Linked DNA regions of Struthio camelus. The protein of the gene in region 1 interacts with the protein of each later gene in a pairwise test. Links are inferred from orthologs where the notes say so. Each region holds a gene or a part of one and is shown on either strand. Other genes may lie near its edges.

Evidence for each region.
Region 2: the proteins of ATF4 (region 1) and GOLGA1 interact in binary tests that used the Homo sapiens proteins (3 or more experiments, as listed by UniProt). The two-hybrid records come from large-scale screens. The link is inferred for Struthio camelus from reciprocal best matches to the Homo sapiens genes ATF4 and GOLGA1.

What each region holds. Positions count from the first base shown.
Region 1 is NC_090942.1:57,908,216-57,915,144, forward strand, and holds the start of ATF4 (cyclic AMP-dependent transcription factor ATF-4), read right to left. Parts: upstream 3,026-6,929; 5' UTR 2,482-3,025; intron 1,163-2,481; 5' UTR 1,065-1,162; coding exon 848-1,064; intron 311-847; coding exon 1-310. UniProt on the Homo sapiens protein: Transcription factor that binds the cAMP response element (CRE) (consensus: 5'-GTGACGT[AC][AG]-3') and displays two biological functions, as regulator of metabolic and redox processes under normal cellular conditions, and as master transcription factor during integrated stress response (ISR).
Region 2 is NC_090961.1:1,283,413-1,290,778, reverse strand, and holds the start of GOLGA1 (golgin subfamily A member 1), read left to right. Parts: upstream 1-4,340; 5' UTR 4,341-4,423; intron 4,424-4,801; 5' UTR 4,802-4,978; coding exon 4,979-5,113; intron 5,114-6,288; exon of another isoform or gene 6,289-6,407; intron 6,408-6,500; coding exon 6,501-6,591; intron 6,592-7,366. UniProt on the Homo sapiens protein: Involved in vesicular trafficking at the Golgi apparatus level. Involved in endosome-to-Golgi trafficking. Mechanistically, captures transport vesicles arriving from endosomes via the protein TBC1D23.

The DNA.
Region 1 (6,929 bases):
TCTGGAGTGGAAGTCAGAGACCCTGGGGAGAGGGGAAAAGACCAAAGGGAAGTCAATGGGGCCATGTGATCTGCTCCAATTGGAGATTCAGGGAGAGTAGTGATTAGGTCAGTTATCAGTGGAGGTTCTTTGTTGTGAAATTCCTGGGTGGTAGGGTTAAACAGGAGATCACACGTGTCTTCCAACGTGGCCATTAGCTCGTCTGGTGAGACGGTGGCTTCCAGATCTTCCATACCTAACAGGGCATCAAAGTCAAATTCCTTCAGATCCATCTTCTCCACCATCCACTCCATGCCAGAGAAGGCATCCTCTGCACAAGAGAGCAAGTTACCAATTCATTAAGTTAGCCACAAACGCAGTTCAAGCTTCTGAAAGTTATACAGAATGGAAATCTTAACACCTTCCCCAGTTCTTATATTGGTATGAAAAATTCAACTAGCAGAAAAATTCTGCTGCCATTAGCTGCAAGAGACTGCCAGGGACAACGTAAGCCATCCAGCTGTTCAGGCATTTCATCCCTCTTATTCCTCTAAGGTCTGTAGGGGTAAAAATATTCAGGGCCCTTGGAAACACACAACTGTTCAGTTTCTCACAGCCCCTTCCAGGGAATACTACTGTAGCAATTGGTAAGTTACAAAAATGGCTAGAGAAGTGTCACTTCACCATACACACGGTTTTGTCTCATCTGGAAAGGATCTGTATAATGCAGCATAATACTACAGGCATGCATGTGAGGCCGTCTTCTACACATTCATGAAAACTTAGCAGTTTAATTCTCAAGGTAACATTACTAAACATTTATGTGCAATTATCAAAACAGATGTACCTTACAAGCAAAATACCTTACCCTGGCTGCTATCTATGGTGTTGCCTAAACTGTCCACAGTGAGCCAATTGGAGGAGACTGCCTTAGCCTTTTCGCTGGAGAACCCATGCGAACTGAGGGGCTCGGCCACCTCCAGGTAGTCATCTAGGAGTCCCAGACTTTCCTCAGCCACCGAACACGGCTGGCTGAAGGGGGACAACGAATCCCCCAACAGCATCTCGTTGTTCAAGAGGCTCATCTTGGTCGATTTTTAGTACTTTGATGTCGAAGGATGCAGACAAGTAGAGGGTGTTTACGTCGATTACAGCAATGCTGCTGTGCGGTGCCTTGAAAAGCCTGCAAGGATGACATTTGAAGTCCATCAGTGACAAGTGTGACTTTTCAAATTAATTCAATCCAGCCCTTACTCTACTGGGATATAACTTTTCAAAATAAGTGGCATTTAACAAAATATCACAGAACACAATAGGCTCATGTGACTTCCCCATTTTTACAACTGCCCTTTGCTGGCAACATACCATTTTTGCATCCGAGCTCCTTCCTAAAGGCTTCTCGCTTCGCCAGAGCTCCTGCTACACAGCAGAGCCAGCTGTAATAACCACGAGGCCTTCCCTCCGGTGTGAAAACCCCCGCGGGAGACCCACTCGACTTCCTCATGACCATATATGGGCACGGCGCCTGTGGCAGAGCCCCGCCCACCCCGCTGCCCTGACGCAAAGCCTACGCCAGCAGCCGCAGCCATTTCATGATCTTGCTGCCTGCATCTGCCTACCGCAGACACGGGCCGCCATTTTGTATCCTGCCACGTTTCCACTGGGGCTTATCGAGGAGCACCTGGTGTCTCGCAGATGACCGCTAAGACTTTGTAAGGGCAGAGTAGACCTCGGTACTGGGGGCGGGGGGGGGACAATACTAAATCAGATGGAACTGGAATAACCTCTCAGGACTGGGAAAGTCTCTGAAATAAGCCGACTTACAAAATGGGGAAGCTGGACGACAAGGTGAATCGATTGTCACGCACCACCTTCAGTGGAGTATCCAGAAGGTATGAAACCCCCCTCCGGACATTCAGGGCACGCTTAACACTACGTTATTAAAGCATTACAATACTGCTGCCACTTTACTACTAACCGTCCCTAATAATCTACTCAGGATAAAACACAAAATGGTATTTATACCCTTACAAGTCCGATGCCTCCAATGCCCTATTTTTCCCCCATTCCCCTATATTAGATTGGGGGAAGAAAAAAAAAGAAAACACACTTCCTCAGGGATGAAAAAGTCCCACTGAAATAAGAATCCCAACCCTACTTCCCTACTCTTGAGAACCGAGTTTCCCGAACTAGAGATAACACAGAAACTCCTCATAGTTTCTTTCAAAATATTATTTCCTTCAATTCCACCCCATGACAGGCTGAGCTTACAGCCGGGAAATGGCATTCATCAACATAGTCTAGACCGTACCATGGTAAGACGGACCTTCCTGCCAAATCCCTCATCACCCAGGCACCTTTTTCCCGGGAAATGCCACTCATTACCGTAGGGGTGACAAACCGATCCCTCCCCCTCCTCAAGAAAACCCACTCCAAGGGAAAAAACACAGAAGGGCAAAACAGAAGGCAGAGAGATCGCCGTCCCTCCCACACGGTACTCACGCCATGGTTGCAGATGCCGGGGATGTGCCGAGGCCGCCGCCGCTGCTGCTGCGCCTGCTGCACTGGCCGATGCCGCCGCTGGCCCTGCCGCCCTTAAAGAGCCATGGCGGCCAGGGGAGGGGAGGCTGCTCCGGTCCGCGCTGCGCGGGGAGGTGCTACGGGCACAGCCACTGCCACTACTATTCCTAAGTTCAGCTACAGACAGACAATGAGGTGGCAATGTCCGCGCCCCATCTTTATATAGTGCTACCGCCGAAGAAACGAGATCCGGTGATGGTGTGTCCTTCCGCCAACCGTCACCTGCCCCTCCCCAGCGCTCGGCGGCGTGCAACCTCTCTTTCTTGGTTCTCTACTTCCAACCAGCTACGCTTTAACCGCCAGAGCCACCAGCAGGAGCTACCACCCCAACCCCCTCAGCCACGGAACAGCCGGCGGGGGGGGGGGGGGGACTATATGATGCTCGTCGCGCCGGCCGTCGCCGCGCTCAGCGCGGTCGCGTCACGTGGCGGAGCAGTTGAGGACGCTCCTCCTCCCCTGCTTGGGATGGGGGAGGGGGCTCCTAACCGCCAGCAAAGGCAGGGCTCTCGGGCTGGAGGCATCACGCACGTGGCCACGTGGGAAGCGGGGCGCTGATTGGCTGAAGCGAGTTATTCACGTGTACGGTGAGCTGCCATTGGCCAGGACTTGAAAGAGGCCAGATGCCGAGGGGGAAAGGAGAAGGGCGCTGGGGAAACGGCGCCTTGTGGGGAGTGTGGGGGTGGTGCTGCTCCTTGCGCAGTCTGCAGCCTGCGACCCTCACCGCGGCTCCGGCCTTTCCCTTCCCTACCCCTCCTGAAGCAGCGCTTTCCCCCTTGGTCTCCAATGGCTCCTGTGGTCCCCTGCCCGAAGCCCTGCTGAGTTCAGGGCTCGCAGGCTGAGGCGCAGGCATAGGCTCACTGCCTTGAAGTGACCAGGCAGTGGGCCACCATGAGCTCCTGCTCCTGCAGATAACGTGTCCGCCCAGGGCAGCTTGGCCTTCCCTCCCTGCTTGTCAGACAAATGCAGCCCTTAGATTATGGCTGTTTTGGGGCACAGACAGTGTGTCTATCCCTCTGTACCACATGCAGCCTAATTAACGTGTGCATGTTCGAACTGGGCCTGCTGGTCTTGCTGCAGCTCTGGCGCAGTATTGACCTGGAGTGGTTCATGCGGAGTTGTGCTGGAGATCCACAAGCTAAAAATGAATTAGGTTATTTCCTAGCTGAGGAAAGAGAACTTCCTCTCCTCCCATACGGTTTCACATTGACACAGTTGCTTCTCTGTTCTCTGTACAGACATTGCTCGGGCTAACATGAGCGTTAGTGGATCACCTACATAGCCTAACAGCTGAACAGGGCAGCGTCACCTTGGAAAGTTTCTAAAGTGCAGTTTCACATTATGCTTTATCTGATCTAAATCAACTTGAGGCTCGGAAAGAAGGCAGTCCTGCTCCCTTCCCTGCACCCGGTTCCTGGCAGTACAATCCCACAAGCTCATCTGGCCCCTTGGGTGAGCCAGCTAGCTAACCCAGCAGGAAAACTGATGGGGGTCAGTCATTTTCTGCTGGTTTAGGTCCCCTAATTTTCACTTGGGTCAGGCAAACATCAGTCAGCTCAAGTGAGCTGGAGTGAGAAGGTCGCCTTAGAGTGGCAGCGTGCCATTGGATCACTCAGACCCTAGCAACAGCACCGATTTCTACCTGCACCTTTTCTCACTGTGTCAGAGCTATCCAGCTTCAAATGGATGTTTTTCCCCCATTGCCAACCTTGCAGTACAGTATCGGCTCTGGGAGCTGAGGTGGGTTCTGGCTTGTTCAAATGCCATCATCGTGTAGGTCAAATTGCCCTCAGCTACTTCTGCCAAAAGCTCCTTTGTTTCCCAGTTAGGGCCTCGGTAGTAGTTGTGTAAAGCCATGGCCTTCACTTAGTTTGCATAGGCGTAACTGCTTGGAACTTATTATTTGACTGATAATTTGCAAGGACGGGCGTGACCCAGTTTCTGCTTTTAGCAGTCCGATGTACCATCATCACCACAAATCAGAATATGTCACTCTGCATCTGTAATCTGAATGCAATCACTGAATAAAAAAGGTAATTTTCCCTACATGTTGTTGTTTTTTTTTTTTTTTTTCTGGAAGCAAGCACAGATTTTGGAATGACTCATTAAAATGGAGGCGGTGGAGAAAAATGCCCTCCAACACCAGAAAACATCACAACAGCAATTCAGTGATCTAAAACGACTGTTCTGATAAACGCACCAAGTAGTAGGCAGATCTTGCTTCAATGCAAAATTTGGGGGATGCAGCAGCTTTCAAAGAAGTCAAGTGGGTGATCGGCTGGGCGGCTGCGCAGACAGCATCCTGATGCCCTGACTGGCTAAGGGGAAGCTCTCACATCCCCCACCTTGCCTGCCTGCCCCTCCTTTAAGTGAAAAGAAAAGGATGCTTGTAAAACTGAAATCGCAGCTAAATAAATGGAAACACTGTACACACCCTATCCTTCATCTTGAGAAGATAATTATAGATTCCCCTGAAAGGACTCTGGGTATGTGTGAGCAAGAATCACAGGAGCAAAAATGAAAGAGGCAATGAGGAACTTAACCCAGATCTGCCTGTTTCGTAGCTGCCTGGTTTCCATTTTGTATGTATGTACATGTATGTGGAAATTTGTCTGCATTATGAGCTCCAGACAGAAATTTTTTAACTGTCCCCTACCCAGAAAGTGAAACCAACTAACCAAAAGCCAGCTACTTAGCCAACAGTGCGTTTTCCCTGTCTCCCGAAGGACTACAGAATTACTCGTTACATAATTTCGTAAGATACATCTCTAATTCCATTATAAATCATCTCTCTCCACTTGCCCATGTTATGCTAAAGGTTTCTTCTTCATGGCTAAAGTTTTTTGATTGAGGTAGAAGATACTTCTTTACATTCAAGTAAAAAAATCTTTGGGAATTTTTGTAAATAGAAAATTACAAGTATCTTCTAAGCAGAGAACTACTAGCTACCCACTACTAACTCAAAAGTGTCTAAGAAGTGTCCCTTTCCAATACTGCAAAATCCGTTTCTGGCTCAAACATTGCACGGGCAAGTCTGATAGCTCTGAAGAAAATTAAATCTATGCTGATTTAAAAAAAAAAGGCTTCTGAATGAAGATTAATGTATGTGCATGGTCAATAACCTCCTGCTGACATGTTATCAGCTTTAGTGCAGTTGATGTTATTTTCCTGTATTGGGCACCATTTCTCAGCAAAGAAAGCTCCTGTAATAAGAAAGCTCCATCTATATCCAGAAGTGAGGGGCCAGCTGCAGGCAAAAGGAGTTGCTTGTGCAGGGCTCACTGCAGGACAGAGGCCAAAGTGACCTTGCTAGGAAGTGATGAACTGTGCCGAGATAAATACAGCGCTGCAGAAAGCCATCTCAGGCCAAACGGCAGCACCAGGAGGTGAAAAACTAATGTTCCTCCTCCTTTCGCCCTTCTCCTTTGTCAAGACCGAAGGTCAACAGATAGGCCTTATTTTTGTTAAAGGTTAACACTGAGAAGCAAAGGAAGCTTCCTTCCTCTCCCAGCAAATATGCAGGGGGTACACAAAAGAAAGGATGTAAATGTTTCCATAGTAACATCTTCCTGCACTGTCTAGACTGTCTGCGTGCAAAGCCCCGGGGGGGCCTGTTGGTGGGGGGCTGCTAGGGCCCTTATGGACCAGGGCAGTGAGGGGCAGACGTGTTACTGGCGCCCAGAAGGCAACCAGCAAAAGTAAGGTAGCCTGAGATCTTTGCTTTTTTCTGGGGTGCCAGGACAACTGCGCTTCAGTGAACATAGCGTTTCCCGAAACCAACAGGAATTTTTCCAGGAGACAGAGTGCTCGGGGAAAATATAAAGGAGGAATGAGGCAAAACACCTAGAAACTGGGAGCAATTTCCCGGGAGAGTTGCTGACAGACTCTACGGCTCAGGCTAATTCTCAGCGCTTGGTTGCCTTTCTCCTCATGCAGCACAAACAACTATCTGAAGGATCTTTTCTGCCAGACTCTCCTTGTAAGCTCTTTAGGGATTGCTTTATAGATGTTCCGTTTTGAAACTAGAATGAAAAGCAAATATATGTGGTTAAAGATCAAGCTGGGAGTATTAGCGTCCATCTTTTATTACATACAAAGAGAAAATAAGTTAGCCATATGCTGTGCCTCATTTGTTTTGGACTCGTACACCAAATGGAACCTTTAATAAATCATTCATTGCTTACTCACCCCCTCGCTTTCTTATGTTTCCATCCTGTTATGTAAATATCACTGACATTTGAAATTAAAGTAATAAAAAAAAAAAAGGATTAAATCTGCAATTTACATTTGCAATTTACCGTTCAATTATTTTAGATGGATATGGAAACAGTCCTGGTTGTCCACCTACATTTTTCTTACCGAGCAAACGTGGG
Region 2 (7,366 bases), on another chromosome or scaffold:
GTTGGGCCCCTCACCACTTGGTGCTGCTCTTCTTTGGACTATAGCAGGACTGGGATGTGGAGTTTATTTTAAAGAGTGTGTGTTTGTGTGTGTATGTGTATTCTAGGCGTTTGTGTGTATATGTACAATACACATACATCTACTTGCTAGTGTAAATTGTAAATATGTATATATGTATAGGTACTTGTATATGTATTAAAAAGTATGAAACAGTACAATGTCTTTATATACAACATTTATATATACACACATACGCCATTTTGGGTGCATTCCACAAGGTGTTCCAGATCCTTTGTGGTTGTAGTAAAGGTTATGGCTCTTCTACCATTATAATTCTGTTTTCAGGGACTTGCACTTAGTCCTTGAAGTAATTCAGAACTGCAATCGGGTACAGGAAGCCTTAGCTAGGGGTTATGAGTACTCCTATGTATGTGACAGTGATTAGATTCATGGATTCTTAATGGTGAAGCTGATGATCTGCCTTTCCTTCTGGTAGGAGGTCCCCAGTTATTAAAACGTGGGATCATACGTGGAAGCTAAAGATACTGAAAGCCTTTAAAGCAGCAGCAAGTGAGAGTCACAGATTATCGTATCTGCTACCCTCCCTGCTGTTCCTCCACCAGCAGTGTTTAATGTGCATGGAAGAGGGGAACTTATTTTTCCCCAGCTCACTGCCTTCCAATCAGATGCTTTTGTTCTGCTTTAGCTTTTGCTTTGATGAAGCTATTCTCAGTTTGGTTCCATGCATCTGGAAAATAGTGTGCTATTTTGAAGCACAGGAGCAAAGATCCCTTTAGTGTGGGCTGCTGAACCTCTGTGAAATATTGCCTTCTAGCTGACTGGGAAAGCCTTGGCAGACGCTAGATCGTGTTTTAGCTGGGCTGAGACGAGGAGTTCTTGCTTGCGATCTGCAAGGCCTCTAAGCCACTATGCAGCCCTGAGAAGAGGTTCTGTTTGCTTGTTACCTAAGTAGATCTAATCAGAGGAGAATGCGCTTAAAAAAAAAAGTGACTAAAGAAGCTAGAATGGAGGAGAATATGTGGCTTTGAAAATTAGTTCAGAAGCTAAACACATCAGCTTTGTCTGTTCAGGTAAAAAATTCATTCTTGAGGTCCCACATTCTCTTCTCACCTAGTGACCTTTGGTTCAAAAGGTATGCTGCTGATAGGAATATTCAAAGATAAAGATTTTACTCCTGTTGTGTCAGTAGGAGTAAGAAATTGTACTTTATAAGAAAAAGGCTGATACCTTCTGTCTGCTCTAGCTGTAGATAAGATGAGTATTTGGTCTTGGACTTTGAGCCAGACACCCCCCCACCCCCCACCCCCCCCCCCAAAAAAAAAAAAGCAGCTAGCTGCATTCAAGATAAAAACACTGATCTTTTCCCTCCAAGTAAAAGCTTGTCTTGTTTGAATTTACTAAGTCATTCTAAATTTGTGCTACTGTGTACTGTGTGCTATGGTTGTAGGTACCTTCTCTATGTATACTTGTATGTACTGAAGAAAAATTTGGTATATATATCTAGCAGATCTCGCTATAGGGAAGCAAAGGCTGAACAATTTCAAGTGAGGAGAGAACAGATCCTTTTCTTCTCAGGCCTAATGCCTTCTCTCTTGTATCCCTCTCCCTTTCTCCATATATCCTTATTGCTTATGTTAGTGGAGAAGACTTGCTACCATTAGGCAATACTGAATTAAAAGGGTAAATTCTGTATGTAATATCTAAAGAGAGGAAAAGGTGAACTTGATTGAATGTCTCCTTATTGGACTTCTCCTGCCTAGCCCCCTAATTTACTGCATGTGATATGTTTGAATTAACTGTACTTCCACGGTAGGCATCTCTATTTGTACTCCTCTGTTCAAATTGGCTTTAGAACATCTAGCCAAAGTCAGTGCTGTTGCCTTCCCTCACCCACCCCCTTGACTTCTCAAAATAACAGTGAGGGGGAAAATAGGGCCATGAATTTTTAGAGCTCTGTTTTTACTCTTTGGACGCTGTCATTTTGCTCTGTGGCAACAAAAATGGAGCACTAACTTCTGTGAGCTGTGCAAAGTGGAGTTGCTCCCTGGAGTGCTTTCGTGAGAAGTTTCAGGAGAGTTTGTTTGGGTAGTTTGTCAAAATAATATCCATCAGGTCATGATGTATTAAAACCCTTAATATTCTACAGGGAGCAGTGTGGAGATGTCTTTCTAAGGATCACTGAGGGTAGATGGGGACAGGAAGTTAGGCTTCAAATAATCGTCTTCAAAAGCTACAAGTTCAGTAGCGCTGGTCAGGCTTCTTGTCTAAGGATGGGATGAAAGTACAGCTCCAAGATTCATCCACAGGCATGCCGTTTTGAATTACCCCCCGCCCCGCTTCTTCTGTGTAGTATGACTCCGTGCTATGCTTGGTCTGCTTTTTCCCAAAAGCTTTTAGCTTGGGATCTCTCTCAGCAGCATTTTGGCCTTGACACTTCTTTTGTAAAGCTTCATCTATGTTAGCTTCTTCAGTAAATGTTTTTACAGGTCACTAATGATAGCAGTGGCAGATGTTTAGTCCTGTCCATCCTATGTTAAGTGGCTGCTTCGGTGTTGGTAGCTGTTGGTAGTTGCTCCTGTAGCTGAGGGAGCTCCATGGACAGTAACAGCAAGAGTAATCTCACAAGGGAAAAAGTCCAACACATGCAGCTGAAAGCTGTTCTGTGCAACTCAATAATGTCAGACTAAGCTGCACCGTCAACCTCTGAGAGGGATACTGGTGCAGAAGACAGGGCAAAACTGTCCAGAGTAGATGACTTGCATATTCTTGACATGGCTCTCTTACATTGCTGAGTATCTCTGACTTCTAGAGCGATTTGGCTTGTGGGACCAAATCTATTTCAAAGATTGTGAAAGTCTGGATGTTTACAAATAGAGCAGAGGAGGAAGCATCGGACAAATACTTCTGGTTTATATTTAGGAGTGAAAGTAAAGCTACTTCTTCTGAGACAGACCCCACTTTCTCATCACTTTTCCTCTAAACCATTGCTCTGCCAAGACAGAGGAGGAGATCTAGTTGAGGATTTCTGAATTTGTGAGCTCTTTCAGAAGACCAGGGAATAACTCTGCATCCCCATTGACGTACCCTTATTACTGGGCCTGCTGCCCTGATGTGTGCATAGACGTTTTGCTCTTACAGATCCTGCTTTCACATTGAGAGCAGACTTTACTATTTACTCGGCCAAAGGAGCGCCTTGAGAGATTTTTAGACCTTATTGGATCTTATATCAGTAATTATTCCTTCAAAAAAAGCCTGTGTTGAGTATCTGCCCTACTGACTTTGCAGATTTCTTCTGCCATCTGTTTATTACCACTTATCAGTTGTAACTCATTTTTAGGAGCAGGATTCTGCCTCATGCATTTGAAAAGCACAAGGTGCTTATGCCCTGGCCTGCAGCTCACCAAGAAGTACAAGAAAAATAGATGGGAGAGGGAGGGGACATTCTGGAAATACAGAAAGATGAACTATGTCTCAGACAGTCCATCTACCAAGGGTTAAAGGAGTGTTTTGCCTCTCTGAGTATCAGATTATTTATTACCAAAAGTAATTTTATAGTGGATTGGTTTAAAGTTATTTTACAGCCATGTGCCTGTATATCATATTTTGCTAAAAAAAAAAAATATTTTACTTAAAATATATAGAGATATATAAATAAACTTTTTGGAGCAAATAGACTTTTTTTTTTTTTTTTGCAAGGGATCTATGAATTGCCAAAGCAATGCACTACCAGAGAATATTCTGCCATTGGTTTTGGTGTCTTTGGGAGGAAAGAAGTATGTTTGTATTACTGCTGAAAATTTCAGGGAAGAGTTAAAAGCTACGCTTACAAGTGAGAAGTGATGTTACTCCTCCACTTCAGAAATAAAGACCTTAGTTTCCACGTCGGTTTGTACCGGTAACTAAAACCGAAACGCAAGGCCTGCTTACTGCTGCCACGACCAAGGTTAAAGCCTTTTCCCGCGCCGCTCCGCTCCGCTCCGCTCCGCGCGCGGCCCGCCTGCCCCGCCGGCCCCTCCGCGCGTGGCGGGCCGCGGCCCCCCGCCCGCCCCCAGCTCTGTACCTCTTCTGTAGACGCGTGGTGTTTCAGACGTAACGCTCTTGTTTGCTAACCTGTATGATTTGCCTGTTGTCATGACTACCTTGCCTTTTCCGGTGGTATGGAAGGAGTTCGCGATTAATAAACTGTGGCAAACGCTTGTCTGTGAGGAGGCGGCTGTCGCGCGGCGGGGCGCGCGGCGGCCGTGACGGGGGGGGGGAGGGGAGAGGAGAGGAGGGGAGGGGAGGGGGCGGGGCTACCAATGCCCGCCCCGCCTCGCCTCGCCTCGCGCGTGCGCAGCCCGCGGCGCTTCCGGCTCCGCGCGGCGCTTCCGGGTCGGCGTCGCCAGGGGCAGCGGCGGCAGCGGTCGGCGGTGGCGGTGGCGGTGGCGGTGGCGGGGGGGGGTCGGGGCGGCGCGGCGGGGCGCGGCGCGGCGGCACGCACCGGGCTGGGGGCCGCCGTGAGGCGACTGAGGGGCCGGGGCCGAGACGGCCGTGGCCGGGCCGCGGCGGCGGGAGCGGCGCGGTGGCGGCGGGGCTTCGCCGGGCCCTTCGGCAGCCGCCGGCCGGGCCCGCTGCCTCCGCCTGGGGCGCGCTTCGCGGCCGGCGGGAGCTCTGCAGGGCTTCTGCTCCGCGCTCTGAGTGTGCGACGACACGCACGGAATTAAAAGGCGCTCGGTTGCGTGGAGGTATTTAAAACTGGTGGAAAGCCGCGGTACGGAAACCTTATCTCCTTAACGTGCAGGTCCTGTTAGGCCATGAAGGCTTTAATGGAACTAGAGAGGCAATAAAACTGAGTGGATGAGGCACGAAATTAAGTCTCGACGTCTGGAAGCTCTACGCGGAGCGCCAGCGCGCTAGCCGTGCCGGAGGGAGCGGCTTTGCCAAATACTTGGCTATTTCGGGGCTGCAGAGCAGTAAAATGTTTGCAAAACTGAAGAAGAAGATCGCGGAAGAGGCAGGTATCGCGCCTCGCCCGGGAGGAGCTGCCAGGATACCTAGGTCTGTCAGCAAGGAGTCGATTGCGTCCATGGGAGCGGACTCGGGAGACGACTTTGTGAGTTGCACTTTGCTTGGAATTTTGCTTTTTGTTTCAGCCTTTCCAGTGCGGGTTGGCAGGCGACCATTTTAAGTCCGGTGCGTGAGCCGCGTATGCGTTCCGGTATGCGATAGGGCGTTTATGTAGGTGTAGAGCTTAACGTGTAGATGAATCACTAGCTTCAGTGAAAAGAAACTAGCTACTGAAAAGAAAATATTTATGTATTAATAGCAGTAGTTACTAGGAGGCTTATGTTCAAACGCAAGTTTATGTTTAAACGCAAGTTACAAAACTATCTCAATGAAGACCATTGTTAAACAGATGGAAAATACTGAATAAACCTTTAGCAGTGTGTAAGACACCTACCTACAGAAGTAAGTACTGAAGCAGCAGACAAGGAAGCCGGATGCTGATTAGCAGTGATTTGGTCCTGTGTTTGCCTCTCGAGTTGCTGGTACACTTGCTGCTTGAGCATATTGTTTATGTAACCGCTAAGAAAGCATATTCCATTTTGTTGCATGCAAGTAAAACTGTTCTGGTTCCTCTGTCTTGTTTAAACTTTGATTCATTATGAAGCATTGTTTAAGCAAGCTGTATAATTATAGCTGCATGTGGGTTAAATGAAACCCTACAACGCTGGCACCTCTGCCCGTAGATGGCTATTGTATTTCTCAAAACCTGGGTTAAGTCATGGTGTAGCACTGCTGTTGGAGCTAACAGCTAATACATGCTATATTGCTTTAGCACAGCAGGTCCCTTTATGATTCTCTTTCGCTCTGTGTGTGTGTGTGTGTGTGTGTGTATATAGAGATATATATATGAAATATATAAATAAAACTCTATCTTCAAGAATGAGTTATTTTAGTAGTTCCCATTTACTTGCTCTTAATGTTGATTTTTATAAAAAAAAACTATAGAGAAACATATGTTAGCTATGCAGTGGATTTTGCATGGAATGACTATTGGATAAGTGCTTAAGGGAGTTTATTCAACGTGAAAAGTATTACTTTTCCTTCTTCCAGTTACTTAGTTTTCCAAAATGACTCCTCTCACTTGGACTCATCCCAGAATGTGTACTGTATAACCTAATTTTTCCTTTTTCCAGTCGCTCTGCTATGCTGTCTCCTCAGTGATCAGTCTGAACAAATAATTTGCAGCTATGGGTTTTAAAAGTCTTGTATTTCACGGAACAGGCCCACATTGGAGAGCTGACCATTTAAGCTCTTGCTTTTTTTCTTCTTCAGCATCTTTTGTACATTCTGCTGTGCTAGTACAACTCTCCCCTCGTGAAAAATGAAAGCGTCCTTCCTAGGTGGGATAGTGTTCATTATCGTTAAAGTTAGTATATGGCAGGATCATTTTTTCTAAGTTTTGTAAGTTACATGGATGTTGTTTTTCTATTGAGGCTTCTGATGGAAGCAGCTCTAGGGAGGATCTTTCATCCCAGTTGTTGAGAAGAAACGAACAGATAAGAAAACTGGAGGTCAAACTGTCCGGTATGTGTCTTGGTTTGTATAAAACCTTATTATTTTAGGAAATGTGTTTCATTTGAACTTAAGTGTTTTAACTTATCAAAAAATGTTTTTAGATTTTTTTTTTTCCAGAAAACTTCAATTTGTAACAACATGGTTGACTGTCATCTAGGTAGCTTCCAGTAAAGATAACTGTATAAAGTTTAAAGATTGATTGACTGACTGACTCTTTTCCACTGATTTCTTCGCAACATTTGTGCGTTTCTTTTGAACATTTGGGATACCTTTCTGTCCCTGTGTTTCAAACAGAAAGAGTCTTCACTTGATGCTATCTTCCTTTCCCCACTGTTTTTTCTTACTTACTTGGAAAATAGAACAGCTCCCTTCTGTTAAGATGTATGCTTTTTGATGTTGACAGAAACATTCCCAAAAGGATAAACTCCCAAATGAAGAAAAAGCAAAGGATTTGGCATAAAACAACATTGACGCTGTTTTTCTTTCTACAATCATGCCTTGTCCTGTAAAAGTCTTTTAAGGACTTCTGATACTGCTTTCCATCCCTGTTGCATGGAGTGGATCGGAGTCCAGGTTGAAGCGTGTTATGGAGCAAAAGTAAAAGCTGCTTTGAATTCCCGTGTCTTCTCATTCACTCTTTATTTCTCTTTAGAAAATGTCTCTTAAATTAAGTCACTGTTCTTGAATGAAGTAAAAGGTGGGAATAGTTCTCCGTTCTCTGGTGCCAGGCCTACTGCCCTTTATTGTGTAACTAGCACACCTAGGTCAGGTCCTCCTGTTTGTG